Styela clava: one gene and its partner. Each later gene encodes a partner of the first gene's protein in a complex. Links are inferred from orthologs where the notes say so. Each region holds a gene or a part of one and is shown on either strand. Other genes may lie near its edges. The genes, in order: ankyrin repeat and SAM domain-containing protein 6-like and ankyrin repeat and SAM domain-containing protein 3-like.

What was found.
Region 2: the proteins of ankyrin repeat and SAM domain-containing protein 6-like (region 1) and ankyrin repeat and SAM domain-containing protein 3-like are in contact, whole or in part, in a crystal structure (PDB 4NL9), measured with the Homo sapiens proteins. The link is inferred for Styela clava from reciprocal best matches to the Homo sapiens genes ANKS6 and ANKS3. Residues at the interface, in NP_775822.3 of Homo sapiens: Glu796, Gln797, Glu798, Val799, Asp800, Glu802, Ala803, Thr806, Leu807, Asp811, Glu814, Leu815; in NP_597707.1 of Homo sapiens: Lys441, Tyr442, Thr470, Leu471, Phe472, Gly473, Pro474, Arg476, Lys477, Arg484.

The regions. Positions count from the first base shown.
Region 1 is NC_135250.1:12,182,784-12,190,979, forward strand, and holds the start of ankyrin repeat and SAM domain-containing protein 6-like, read left to right. Parts: upstream 1-5,056; 5' UTR 5,057-5,094; coding exon 5,095-7,605; 3' UTR 7,606-8,196.
Region 2 is NC_135251.1:30,860,281-30,868,119, forward strand, and holds the start of ankyrin repeat and SAM domain-containing protein 3-like, read left to right. Parts: upstream 1-4,473; 5' UTR 4,474-4,595; intron 4,596-4,850; exon of another isoform or gene 4,851-5,626; 5' UTR 5,627-7,112; coding exon 7,113-7,200; intron 7,201-7,736; coding exon 7,737-7,839. UniProt on the Homo sapiens protein: May be involved in vasopressin signaling in the kidney.

The DNA of each region.
Region 1 (8,196 bases):
CCTGGCCTTAGTATGCTGGTGACACAAAAAAAAGATGCCAAACGTCAGGACAAATGTTATTATTAAAACGTTGAGTTTATACTGTATTATTTTTGTTAATTTTAAGTTCATATATTTAGATTAAGTTATTTTTAGTGTATGTATTATTCTTTCCTTATCCAAAGCTTGTTCAAAAATGATTTTGATCGTTGTACATAGAATTTTATGATTTTTTATAATATATACAGTAACTTGCAAATGTTGCAATAATAGTGGAATGCAAATATTAATATGTAATTGCATTTGAAATTGAAGAAAATAATAAAACTTAATCCAACTGTTTAGTTGCATCACAATATATGTCACAAACTAAAACTATCTTAAAAATATCTTTCAAGTATTCATTATCAAAAACTGTTTGCGGCCCTTTTTACAATTTCCAAAATGCAATGCGGCTCTCGAAAACCCATGAGTTTGACACCACTGATCTATTCTAGACGATTCAAGCATTGCTTTGGGAAATAATATCACTTCAATTAAATTGAAATAATCTCGCTATATTAAATACAAAATCGTTGCTATCATAAAGGTAAACCAATTCAGCCACTCGAAATATATTGGCCTTCACAAAGAAATGGAGGCAAAATTGAGAGTTCATGAGCTATGAACATTTGTTCTTTTCTTTGTCTTGGACTTTTCATACTCCACAGCCTCTATTAATTTTTTATAATTTTAATTACCATGTAATGGTCATACATATCTTTAACTTGTATTTTCTGTCATGATGTATTATCTCAATGTGCCAAACTATTAATTAGTGTGCATATTTTGCTTCCAGATGACATAAATGTATTGTCTTGTTTACTACCTCAGCTTGGAGTATTGACAAGAAAAGGTGCCAGTAAATTAGGTAAAAATTTTTTTAACTCTTTGTTATAATCAGAATTCACAATCAATAGGAATTATAAACAGCCAACAATCAATGAGAATTATATGCGAAATCCCTCAGAATAAATTTGTCTAAAATCGGAGGAAGGCAAAAAATATAGGTAGTTTCCACTTTCCATCCACACAAGCATTTCAAGAAGACTTGCTCGAGCCAAACTAAATGAGCATCGTCAGGTGATCGGTAAGGCTGCAAGTTGAATTCAGCCGCCCTGCAACCTCCTGCATAGAAGATAATATTAATTAGTGGGCTATGAGCTAAATTCCTAAATTTAAACAAACCTATCTACGATGCATTATGTTCCAGCAATGTTACCTACGATTAACTGAATATGTAATATGTCTAATAAATTCACCTACAAAAGCAAGTTCGATAGGTGCAAACTTTGTGTTATGGAATTGTATCACAGCACAGTTTTGTATGACACCCTCTTTAAATGAAATTTCAATGATTAAGCGCAAACATTAAAATTACTAACTTTGAACTTTGTCATTATCTGCAAAATGTTCCACACAAATCTTTCCGCTATCGCGTTTGTAATCTTCTCTGATAAAAAAAACGTCTATGATGTCCAGAATTGCTCTTTACAGCGTGCCCGCCATTCCAGCTTTCTAAGTGAGCAAAACTTCTTAGATATAGAGATTATTTTGTTTTGTTACAGGCGCAAAAATGCAGGTACTACACGTAAAAAAGACGCCGAGTAGCAAAAGCTAGCGGAAAACGGACGCGAAAGGCGACGAGAAATATGTGCATTGGAGCGTATCATGAAATACAATCTTTCGCCTGTAGTCTTATGGAGTGACGTCAGAGTTGCCTATCATGTTGTTTAATGTCATTGGTGCAATGGACCTTTCCTCGAACTTTGACCCCCGACAAAATTCTCCTATACTTTACCATTGCAAAATTTTCGGGGCTATTTCAAAAGTGCTTTTGCGAGTTGGCGCCTGTAAAATGGGGTATGTATTACAAACCATATTATGATTTATCGCATACAACAATCTGTTTTTTAAAAGTTCCGGTAAAGAATTTTAGCCTAGTCTATCACACCTATTTCTACACTAATGTTTCATTACTGCATTTAAACTAAAACTCCAAGAAAGAAAGAGTGATCATTGAACTATCTGATTTATATTTAAGTTTGCGAAACACATCAGAAAACTAACGAATAGAGTTCAAAAACGCGAAAACAAGGGGATGTTTACGACAACGCTTGAAAATCTGTCTGAGTGAGAAAAGTGTCTGAGCGGATGCGAAAAGGGAGCATTGTTACATCACTTTTTGCATCTTGCTGATTGGCCAATGTCACGAAGTAAACAAGGAAGTCGATGCTCAGGGAAAGGTCCATAGTATGTAGGTGCAAACTTCCTGGTGCTTACTGGCGCAACTTATCTAGGTGCAAATGTAATGGGTCCCTTTGTCCAAATGAACGTCAAGGGTCAACAGACCAATGTTCATAAATTCATAATAACAGCCCGCGATAATGCTGTTCTGGTTCCTTAATATATGCTAATTGTCCACACGTTGAGGTGTTCAGATCTGTAGATAGATAGATAGATACGGTACCGTAGTTTATTTGTGTTTCCAGTGTCACGAGATTGAATTCCTGAATGGATTTTATCACAAAGCATTTACGATTTGATTTAGCTATTTGTTTAACATTGTTGGATTAATGAAAATTGCGCGTCTGTGACTTCTGAGAAGCAAAGCCCGTACAGAATGTCGGCGCATGTAAATAGATGAATGCATGCATTTGTTAGCCATCTAGGCCTATTCATGAATTGTGGATATTTTGATTACGTTTTTGATTTTATTGAAATACTGTGAGTATTATTAAATTGTATAATACTAGATTATACAGGTACTTGTACGTACAGGTACCGTACTAGCCGTAGGAAAGATTAAGATTTTTACTTAATATGACCGAATGACCAGGCATATACCCGTAGCGATAATTTGGCTACAAAGAAATTCTGTTATTGGACACGTCAGTGGACATAACGATCGTTTCAATATTATGTTGTTTTTCTGGTTCTTGTTTTTCTTCTTCTTCGTCATGATAAAATCGCTTTTCTTTTCGAATACCGGTACTGGACCAATTTCTTCGAAATTTTCAGTGGTTAAAGATTGATTTTTTCACCAGAAGGCTATTACTTTCACTTATAAATTTCAAAAATTTCTGTGGACTTCGAGAGATTCGTTTAGTTAACTACTAAAAACAACAATCACATAGAGCTGGAGACTCAATATTTAAAAATAAAATCATCTGGACTAATTTTGTTAAAGATTTTGAAATACTCAAAAATTATATTTTAGTCAGTACTGTAAGTAGTAAATTTAATATCTTTAAAAAAGAAATATATTTAATGTGTTCTCTTCTTTTCTTTCATCTTACTTAGTATACTTTATATAAAAAAAACTATTTTGAAAATTGTTTATCTAATTGCATGACAATGTGATATCAATACTTTCCATGATGAACAGGATGAACACAATCAACTACCTGACTACAGCTTTATGAGTGTTTGTATGATTAGGTAATTTTGTGTGTGCAATATTTCATCATTTATATCTCATTAAAAACGTTATGGATGCTACGCTTAACCTCATTACAGCATTCAGGCATTGTGGATTTGTCCAATTTTTAAATGTTTTCCCGTTTTATTTGTGTGCTTTTGTCCAAGATGCTCTACCAGAATGAACTATGCTTATGTTTAATATTAATACTGTGTGCATACCAACTCTTTAAGAGTACGTAGTGTGGTCCACATGATGGCCGGTCGGTTTTGGCTTCCTCCACCATCAGGTCCGTGTGCCGGATTCGGTACACCGAAGTGTCTCATTGGGCCCACCCACTTGTGTCTGCTTAACTTACGACTACAGGTTTTGTGGATATCGATTTCTGTTGAAAATATCGATGAAAATGATGAATTGTTCACTAAAATAAATACCATAATTAAATATATTATATAAAACGAACCAGATTTCACCTAACTCAAGAATTTATATTCATGCTTCCGAATTATTGTTCTGAAGTATGCAGATTAACAAAAGCAAAAACAAATCTCCTTTATTAACATATTCAAACCTAAGGAATAAGTATAAAAAAGCTTTCGGACGCCTGCAGTAGGCTACATCAGCCCCATTAATCATTGTGCCACTTGGTGCAATAGATGTTCTTGTGCATTAGCTGTTAAACTAGTTTTTTTTTCTAAATAAACTGTTTTATTCATAGTTTCGTATTGATTTTTCAGCCCAGTAAGAAAGTCTATTTTCTGGAACCATCCCACTCAGGAAAGTAATTCCCCACCAGTGTTCCCTCTAAGGTGTGCGCGCGCACACAGCTTACAGAGGCTGCGCACCCGCATAGATTTACTGCGCACAGACGTATTTCGATGTAATGTAACAATGTGCTCGGTTCGCAGGTTGAGAAAGTTTGTTGTTGGCCCACTTATTACCCGGTTAGAACGCCAAAATTTCTTCATTGGTTTTTGCACAAATATTAGTCATTTCCAAAAAAGTGTGCACACACCAAAATTTCTGCGCACACACACGACAAAAAATTAGAGGGAACATTGTTCCCCATCCTTGCTCTATCAGCATATTAAGTTTCAGCTCGTTGTTTTCCCCTCTAGGAATAGTTAACCAGTTCTTCTTAATGGTAGAGTAAGCCATAACGGACCAAGACCAACGGTTATGTATATGGATCTAAGTCGCCATGGAGTCCAATAATCCTCATGCACATAACCTGTGGTTGTGAACCCACATAGAATAATCTGAGTTGCGATGAACTGATACTAATGCAAAGCTCAATGCCAACTGCCAATGGAACTTTAATGAACAATATTTCAAGTTTTGTCCTATTTTCTGGAGTTTTCTCTTTTATTTTGATCTTATATGTCAGTATGTGAAATGCAGGTCAACATTATAAATAACTGGACAGTTCTGCGTGTTGGTTAAAAATTTTATTGCATAATACTGCAATTCCATATTCATATATAGAAAAATTCTATCTTCTCAAATTAGTAGTTTCTTACATATCAGTTTCTTCTCGTCTAGAGCCTTGTTCACAATAAAAGTGTGAACCACTTGATAAAACAAAAAAATAAGATGTTGAGTAAAATATACATCATGTTTGTTTACATTCAAAGGGCTTATTCTTGATAGTTTCTATGATGTATGATCTATGTAATGTACCTCAGTCTATTCAAAATCTACTGTTGGCGGTCGAAAATGGTGACACACACAAAGTTCAATCAATTTTGGATCAAGATATTTCAGTTGAAACCACTGATGCAGATGGGAATAGTTTGTTACAAATAGCAGCTGCAAATGGTCATGAAAACATAGTCAGACTTCTTTTAATTAGAGGTGCTGCACTTGATAGAAAAAATCTATACGGTTGGACACCTTTAATGCAAGCAGCACGATATGGCCATGAAAGTGTGGTATTACATTTGCTAAACAGCAAAACGGATATTAATACAACAACAATGATGGGAATTTCAGCCTTGACTTTAGCGGTGAAGGGGGGTCATAACAAGGTTGTGGAGATTTTACTTGAAAATCACTTCACTGTTGACTGTGTTGAAAATACTCTCCATTTTGCTACTCCTCTCATGGTGGCAACATTGGGTGGCAGGGATGATTTGCTCCGTACCTTATTGCGATGGGGAGTGCCAGCTGACCAAAGGCATATTGCTACAGGTTGGACTGCTCTGATGGTGACTGCGATGACTGGACAACTACCCATGGCTCGTTTATTGGTTGATAAAGGCTGCGATCCAAATCGTAAAAACCGGCATGAAAAAACAGCTCTTGCAATTGCCACAGAGTGTGAACTACGGGAGATTAGGGGATATCTAGATAGAAAAACGACAGATAAACCTGAAAAAGTTGATGATCAAGGTATCAAAATCATAGCTGCTGTTAAAAAAGGTGATTATGAAAAAGTCAAAGAAATTTTAATCAACCACAAAGATGAATGTAATGCAACAACAACTGATGGTGCCACACCACTCATGTATGCAGCTATTACTGGACAAACAGAAATGATTAAATTGCTCGTTGAAAATGGAGCAGACGTTAATGCCAAAGATTATGAAAATGGTTGGACAGCTCTAATGCAAGCAACTTACTACAGTAAAGTTGAGGCTGCCAAGTGCTTAATTGGATTGAATGCAGATGTGGGATGTAGAGCCAAAAATAATATAACTGCCTTCGATATGGCACTCTTAATCAATGCACCTACAAGTCTTTTCAGATTACTTGCAGAACATGCTATGCAGACAAGTAATTCATCAGCTGCAAATGGAAAAACAATAGTAGAAGGAGATGTTGTACCGAGCAAATTAACAAACACTACTATGGCCTGGGCAAACACTGTACCGTGTGAAATACAAGCTACTGATGATAGACAGAAGGAAGCACCAGGTCAAGGTACACAGAAGAAAAGCATGTGGTCTAAGTTAGGCAAGCCATTTAAAAATATTAAACTGACTCGTACTTTTCGGAGCACATTCAAGAATCCCAATAAAGTGGATAATTTTGAAAGTACGTTAATAGCATCTGGTGATGACGCATGTGATCAAAAAGATGGTTCACATGGCAACAGTGTAACAATAGCGGATCCTTATAGCATGACAAATCACAGTGCACCAAAGTCCAGATTGCCTGAAGAGAAATTGGCTCTTATTCAGCCTCCTTTTCAGTCAACAGCGGGAGTTGATCGACACAACACCAATTCACAAAAAAAGACACTAGGTTCGAGAACATCAATGTCTGCAAGTTTAAATAGTAGTGGTGAAAGCTCTGTCAGTCGTAGTGTTGTTAAACCTGTCAAGTTCTTGCAAAGCCCAGGAAATTCAGGTTGTTCAAACACTGGCAGTAGTCCACATTCTTCTGGTGGTGCGAGTGATGTCACGCATAGCTTCTCATTGCCTAAACATGGAAATAATCCGCACAAACAATCCGGTGATCGATATTCTGACACTGTTCTTTCAAAGATGGCCCAAATGAAACAAAGGAAAGATACTTCTTCGAATGCAAGTGGTGGGAGAATAAGGGGATCCATATCTGCGGAACAACTATCAGTCCAACCCCACCAAAAGACTCATGGTCACAGACGCATGGGAAGTAGAGTATCCATTGTGTCATCCCAGAGTACAAGCTCAACTTTGACTCCTCCAAGGAGTCCAGAACCTCAGACTCACTCGGATAAAATGCGATCTAGGTACACTGGATCTGGAAGTCGAGGAATGTCATCCCCCGATTCTACTCATAGTCATAAAAAGAAGAGACGTGCGAGGCCCGTATCAAGACCAACTTCATTCAATGAAGATGATGAACTATCTGTTATCCTTCAGAAACTTTCTCTTGAAAATTACCACCCAATTTTTGAAAAAGAGGAAATTGACATGGATACATTTCTTACAATGACAAATGGTGATTTAAGGTCTCTTGGAATAACACAAGAATTCCCAAGACAGCAACTTCTGAAAGCAATTAACCATTTAAGTGAAGGAAAAGAGAACTATAAAAAACCGGGAGGTATTCCTACATATTCATATAGTATTACTAGTGATTCAGAACGAAATTCAAGTAAGAAATCGAGTAGTTCAACGCAGTTTGAACCTCCATCATGGAGCTATTACTCTAATGTTAAGCCTCGTTCAGGATCATGATTTAAAAAATATTTTGTTAAAAAAGTTTCATATCAATATTAGCTTGCACTCAATTTTGACTTTGGTATGTTCTTTTGGACTAATGTATACACAATTTTGATTTATATATTTGAGCTTCCTATATGTATATGTTCCACAATGATGCCATATTTTTAGTATAGAAAATTTACAATTGTGATACTTTTTTTTCTGTTTTCATATCCTCTACAGTCCTGATAAAAGTTTCATAGGTTAAACAACCCTGCTTTTTTATAGTTGAAGTTATGTTTTCTTTCAGAAGCATCATATGTTGAATGATTATTTACTTAACCATTGAATGGAATTCAAAACCTCTTTTAACATCACTGATTCACAAAACTCTTTGTTGCTTCTTTTATATTGCCTTCATTGTGAAGTATTACTTTGTTTGTATTAAAAATGACTCTGACTGTGCACTTTTGTGGATTTAAAAAGTTTCAGCTATAATTTTGGATTTTAAAATATACTGGTACTAGGTATCAGAAGTCTTTTGTTGCTGATTATGATCTAACAATTATCTCTTAATTAATTTCATTATGACTAAATATCTTCTGTTTTTTATACCAAATGTGC
Region 2 (7,839 bases), on another chromosome or scaffold:
ATGGTGTTGTAATTAGGGTTAGTTCGGATATCTATAATTTTCACTATCCGGATAACGGATATATCCGGGTATTGCGTATTTTAAATATCCGGTTAATCGGATAGTTACTGCTGATTTTAGAGAACCGATTTCGCAGGATTTTCGCGGTGAATTGACCAAAAACCACCACACAATTCTGTTGTAAATACTCACATATGTATTATTTTTCTTGACTAAGAATGATTGTGCATTTTAATATTGCATGTGTCAATAAATAATAATTTGGGCTCAGTAATCGTACCGATGTACAGCGGAATAATAAAATGAAACATTTTTTGAAAATATTGTGTCCTAATTGTTTTTCCCCCGACTGCTAAGTTATTTTCTCCTATTCAAATAATATGTAAAGATTTATATTATTTCTACTTTATTGTTAATTTTTTTTAAAAGTTTCTTTTTGTGTCTAGATCCTCTTTTCTTTAAATTTTGACTCGTACTAAATTTTAGTGTCGCACACTCACAATGATCATTTCTGATCATCCGCACCTTCCTATCAATTGCAATGAAATTTAATATTGTCATGTATAGTATTTTGTGTTCTATAATATTTTGTGATTTCTTGCACGACGAAATAAACTTTGTTAATATATACCACAAGAGCATACATATAAATGAAATCATGAACACAGAAAATCGTGCATTTCGAACATTTTATTTCGGTGAGAGAAGTATCCAAAAAAAAATAGAATATAGGGGAGACAAATTACGTGAAGTGTATAGGAAAATATAAGTAATTTGAACAAAAAATTTAATAACAAAGCAAATTGATGATTATGAAAAAACCGAAGTGGTCAGAAATTTCTTCTAATTTGAAAACTTCACTCATTTAACATGCCACTGTAAATATTCTCACGTTTGTACTAATTAGGCCACAACTTTAAATATATTTCCATTCGAATACCTTTTAAACTAAATTAACAGAACCAAAACAATGCTGCGCCAGTTTTTGAACAACTTTACCTACCACCCTAAATGAGTAAACGAAAAACATGACACGATACAGAGTCTGTCAAATTAAACTTTGCTGAAATATTATAGATCAATTTTCAAACAAATTTGTTTGTGAAAGTTCCATAAAAACCATAAATGTAATAACAGCCTTTCCTCCTATTTTTGAAATTTTCGAAAACGTCACTAATAAAGGCGGTCGAATTTTACAGGCTAATTTTGTTATCATCGCAGATCGTTTTCTTCCGCGTCGCGTGATTATTTGGGGAATTAACATCGGCATTATGCCAGTTTTGATTTGAAAAGAAGTTACATCCCGTGAAAAGTTACCCTTATTACGAAATTTTGGCGATTCAACAGCGCCTAACAGTCTTGTTTTATCTATCACTGGCTGATAAAACAAGAGTCGTGGTATTTTCGTTAGCATTCACTTCCCTATTTTCAGTCAAAAATGTGTGTTTCAGATCTACTCTCTTAACGATAGATAGATACGACGATAGATAACATACTGCGGCCATTTCAGTTCCGGGCGAAATAAAACAATTATCGGCGTTATATACCGTTGAGACTGAACCCGACTTTTCTCTCGAAAATGTTGATATATAACTATAAGCAGTATATATTTACGCTATAAGCTAATTAATATCTGCATTTATTGTACTTAATAAATTATACTCATTGGAATTGCAATAACAGCTCAAATTTGATGAATTTTCAAGATCGCTAAAATAACAAATTGGATTTGTTCGTGCAGATAACCATTTATTTTCATATCTAGAGTAGAAATGCTTTTACTTTAAGGTAAGTCGGGCTCTTCTATAACGCAAATACGCAATAATCACATTTTTCTGCGTGTTTTGTGATGTAATACTATAGTCAAGTTCACTCCAGCATTACACGGATGACTAAAATATAGGCCGAGTAGTGTGGATATAAGTGATTATTATATGCTCTGACAGATGTCAGTGGCCGGTATGTTAGTCGTTGGTGGCCACTCAACAAAAAATATAAAAATACCTAATGCGCATATGCATTATTTATACTGCTCTAGTATCCGGTTAACCGTTACAATAATATCCGGATATCAGATAGCAAAATACCTCTTGGTTAACCGATTATCCGGTTAACCGCTATCCGGATAATCCAACCCTAGTTGTAATGCTGCCTTTATTGGAGGTTTTCATGAAAAGACCATGTTACACGACGAAAATTCAGTCATTTTTAAACATCTCTCAAAGAATTATAAAAAAATTTTGTGCACTGTAACAGTCGCTTTAGCTTGTTTACTATATATTAACAATACGAGGAGTGTAATTAATGATTGTTTTGCTTTAATTGCTATTGTGAAACTAATCAAAATATACACTTTCTTTTGAAAATCATTGGGAACATTTATTTTTACGCGTGGGTATTTTCTGCGATTCTGTCAGTCACAATTTCGTAGCTTCACAGAGGTGTACGATACGGTACCCATACTGTTAAACTTTATCCAGTTATCCAAGGTTTTGATTGTTCTCCTGATTTCATAATCCTGTAATCAGTTTTTATCAATCATTTAATCGCCTTTTATGCTAATCATGGAGTCTGAATACGGTACCGGTACTGTACAGCTGTAACGGTACCGGTACGGTACTGAAATTAACTTATCTTATCGTTAATGCAGAAATGTGATACCGGTAAGCTGTACCGGTACGGTACCGGTACCGTTAACATCTGAACAGGCACTATTATTATGTTTGTGTTTACTAGATTTCATGCCGTGCTGCTTTATACCGGTATTATTTGCAGACAAATGCAGGGTTGTCCAAAACGAATCGAATATTCGAAAACATTCGAATATCAAAGTATTCGAATACCTTTTCGGCTGATTTTCGAATAATTCCGAATAATAGCCACTTTTCGCCGTCAGCAAGGAGTTTTGTTTCGTTTTAAAGAGAACTCTTCAAACGATTTTCCGCGCTTTGTCACGTTTTGTAATGACGGTGAAATAGTATCGGCGCTTAAGTTGTTTGTTATCTTCTGTGCCAGCATTCGCCTCATATTGTTGCAACACATTTGTACGGTTGTGAGATTGGCACTATTGCCATTCCCTTGCAAGGCTTCTAATTTACGCATTCATTTGTATCGAGTCACGAGTCTCACATAAATCCATTACCAGTAAGTCAGATATTAAATAAGTTAAATAAAGTCGTACGCTTTGTTACAAATTACGACACCCAATAAATTGTCGCAGGTCGGAAAAAACAAGTTGATTTATTAGGAAAAATCATTTACACTATTTCCCGATTTTTGGCAAATAAGTTTGATAATGATAGTCAAAAAGTATCGACTTTATACTATGGTGATTTTCCGTTGCGACAAAATATTCAAATTCGTGAACAATAACAGCATTTAAAATGCCTTACCGTATTAATTTAATTTTGTTTAATCTATCTATTCTAATCTATTCAATACTGAGGCGATCTGCGGACATAAATTGTGTGGTAAACTGCCCCATTTATAATAAATTTTTTATTCCTATTTCCTTACTCAGGAAAAACTATTACAACTCTAAAATACCACAACTACCTGTGGACATAAAATGTGTGGTAAACTGCCCGATTACAATTAATTTTTGATTTGTATTTTCGTACTCGTGGAAAAATAATTTATACTATTTCCCGCTTTTAGGAAACTACTTTTGATAATGATAATTAAAAGTATGGACTTTTATCTAGGATGATTTTCCGTTGCGACAAAATATTCAAATTCATGAACGACAACAGCATTTAAAATGTCTTACCGAATTAATTTAATTGTGTTTAAGGTAACTCATAGTTACGTCGACCTTACGAATAAATTGATGCATAACTACTCTAAAAGATACGGCGGCAATCTGTGGACATAAAATGTGTGGTAACTACCTGATTATGATTAATTTTCGATTCCCAGTTTTGTACATACGAAAAACAAAAGCATTACAACTTTAAAATAATGCGACAATCTGTGGAAATATGTGTGGTAAAATGCCGGAATATAATTAATTTTTAATTTATATTTTCATACTCACAAAAATAATTTATACTTTTACCCACTTCCGGCAAATAGTTTTGATAATGATAGGTAAAAGTATTGACTTATTTAATAAATCGACGACTGATAACAGAATTTAAAATGTCTTGCGGTATTAATTTAATTGCGTTCAACGTAGCCTAACTCATGGTTGCGCCGTCCTACGAAAAAATGAAAGGATTACTTTTGTGAAAATAAATTTGAATAAATTTGAAAATAAATTTGAAATACCACGTCAACAGCGGGTATAAATTTTCTGGTAGCCAGCTTGTAGATAACGGTTATTCCATTGTTTATTGTATGCAAATACTGACATACACCAAGATAAGCTTATTTTACTTGAATTTATTTTCGAAGTATTCGAAATTTCATATTCGAAAATAATAATTTTGAATGTATTCGAAATAGTGAACTATTCGGTATTGGCCATCCCTGGACAAATGTATTAAATTGTTTTCAAAAAAGTTTATACAGCTCTGCAGTTACAATTGAACCTTACAACTTGCAGACTTGGAAATATAAGTTATTTGTTGAGAATCGAGAATCATCAAATATGAGTGAGTTAAAGCTTAACTTAAGTGTTATATCTGTCTACAGGTCTATGATACGGTACCTGGTACCGGTACCTGCATTCTTTATTTTATGTGATTAATCAGTTTTCCAATGCCAAATTTTGACTAGAAGTACCGGTAATTCCATGAAGTTTATTAATAGTACTGTACGGTACCGGTACATACTGAGGGAGGCGGACAACTCGACTACCCGTGTAGTCGAGTTGTCCGTCAGCCCATACTGACATACCGGTACCGGTACGGGTGAGTAATAAACAATAATTATTCATGCATGCCAACTCAGACACAATTTATTTTAAAAATAGATTTCCATGTAGTCTAATAATACTGATAACTTTTGTGTGAAGCGTCCTAGATACAATCATACTGTCATATGCAAACAGACATGCATAGGCTATCAACAAATTCATTTCGCGACTCGCTGTTGTTGGCATTTTTTTTTTCCAATTTGTAGCTAATGTTCTGGTATAATATAGAGAAATTGGTACTTCTGTACTTAAAAGTATTGTGGTCTTTGGATGGATTGCAATAAAGAGTGGCGATAATAGGGTAACTTACGTTACGTACCTGCGTACTGACGTAACTTGCAATCTGGCACGCCACCGCACCTCTGATTACCCTGCGTGGGTTCGAATTCCATGTGGGGTTTATTATATGCGAGAGGATTGCTGGACTCCTCGCTGCCGTAGGGTGGTTCCCGTATCCGCTGGGAGGTTATGGCTTCCTCCACCATCAAGTCCATGCATCTGAAAACAAATAATTGGCTAACTACTCCTATACCAGCATACCCTATATCAGAGTTTCCCAAACTTTTTGGGCCGCGGACCTCTGTTTGTGAATTTTATTTGTGACGGACCCCCATCCTATGCCGTATCAATTTCTTTGTCTAACTAACGAGAAAAGATGATGTTTCCTTTGACGAAATAAAACTCATGAAAGCCTGATTCAATACATATTGAAGTTATAATACTGGTAGACCAATGGCAATTCGATAAGATGCCCCTCCTTCCTTGCAGCAACGGTAACAGGCTCAAATGTCTTAGCAAAGTCGTACAAGTTATCGACTGGTGATAACTCAGTAACCCATTCAATCAATTATTACCAACGATGTAGCCCTGTGACGGAGGTCTACCTCATAGACGCCAAAAGTAAGAATCGTTCTACAACATCTTTTCACCCCCAACAATAACGATTTGTGATTGCATGAACTTATGACTTTATCTCGTTTACGAATGTCTGTCTGACAGTGGATATATGGTAAAATCTATGTGTTTCATGACTCATCGTTCATATCATTGCGGCCACCCTGTGCAGTCATCACGGACCCCAGTTTGGGAAACCCTGCCCAATGTGGACTGGTAGCTGGACGAGAGGCCGTGGTTCGCCATATGAATAACCGGTCTCATCGACTTTCCTCTTCCCTGGGATAAATATGTAAATCCTGTCTTATATCTGTATATATGGCTATGCTGATATCAGTCAGTGTCAGTACCCTGGTGTGGAAGGTTTTTTTTGTAATGATCAATTGATCATTTCGATTTCAAAATAATATTAGCGGTTAATAAGATTTACGTTTGATGCTAAATATCTTCTGTTAATCATGATACCACTGAGAACATTACTATAATTAACAACATCAGTGTTCTAAGTTTCATAAAGATTAAAAACTGAATTTTATATTTCCATCCTTCCAAGACATTTGAAATAAGTCAAATACTGTATCAGATTGAATTGGTCATTATATCAGCTTATATGTTTTAAAATTATAACAGCCTGAAAGTTCAATACAATCTTTGTATTTTGTCGTATTTTGTTTGTTTATTTTGGGCCCAAGCGTGGTTTAACTAGATTTGTGTGTGAACTGGTTAGCGGGCACATGATATTTTCATGTTTCAAATTGTTTTAAAAGTTGTTCTGATGCTCCAGAATTCTCCGTTTTTAATTATGGAGTTCTCTATAGGCTATATCTATTTATTAATTTTCTACTATTTTTTTGTCTTGCCTGTACTGTACCCCTTTTGCCATTACATTATTAGTATTGGTGCATTAGGAGTGCACATTGATTTCAGGATTTATTTTCATATATTTTTTAATTTATCAGTTGACCAATCAGGGAAGTAAGGGACATTTTTGTTTTTTTCGCACAATTATCTGGCTTGAATTAATAGTGGCCGACTCTGATTACCTTAGTTTGGTCATTTCGCTGTAGGCTGTATCACCATCTCCCAGTCTGTATGGAAATACCGAAATAAGTGCAGTATCCTCCCAGTCTGTATGGAAATATCGAAATAAGTGTAGTATCAATTATTATGTAGACATGTAATTTTATTCCTGTATTTTGGTTGAGAAATACTGAAATATAAATTGCCAAACATGCTAAATGCTGTTATAAAGCTAATGTAACTTATCACCTTTTTCAGTTTTCACCCTTTTCGGTAATTACATAAAACTTAACAAAAACTCAGCCAATAGCAATTTCCGGATTCAAGGCAATATTCAAAAATGGCAGTGCAAGGTATTGATAATTTTGAAGAATCGGGAATATTTCATCAAAGTTTGTCAATATGGAAGGGAATTTGTCACAGTGCAGGTAAGCTAGTAGTTGTACAAGTGTAGACCCTGGATCCTGAGTGCCCCGATAAAGCAATATTCTGAATATCTGACACTTCAGCTTTCGGTCAAGTGTCTGAATGTACAGGTACTGATTGGGGTTCGATCTTTTGTAAAATTAAAGTGCAAATGACTTGCCTCAATATTCTGCACTACTAAAGGCAAAGAGAGGATTGTGGTCTTCAGACAATGTTGGGACATCGATTATTTCCTGGGAAAGTCAATATGGGGGATGCACTCATGTCTCGTCATTCTAAAATTCTTTTAATGTAATACATATTCATGATATGTGGGTGTGAATCGTGTGATATATCTAAATGCCAGGTTATTTCGATTGCTTTTCTCCATTGCGGAGATGACGCCCCACTTCATATGTTTCTGATGCTATTTTTTCTAAAAAAAATAGGAGATACAAATAGTAGAGGATACTTGTATAATGCATGCTCAGCCCATATTTCGGAACCTGATATATTGAACATTTTGCTGAATGAAAGTCACCTTTATATTTATTTGCAGATGGAACATTTGTTTATGAAGATGATAATTTTGATCCCATTTCTCTTGATCTCCACACGTCTGCTTCTATTGGTGAAACTGAATTAGTTCAAGATATATTAGA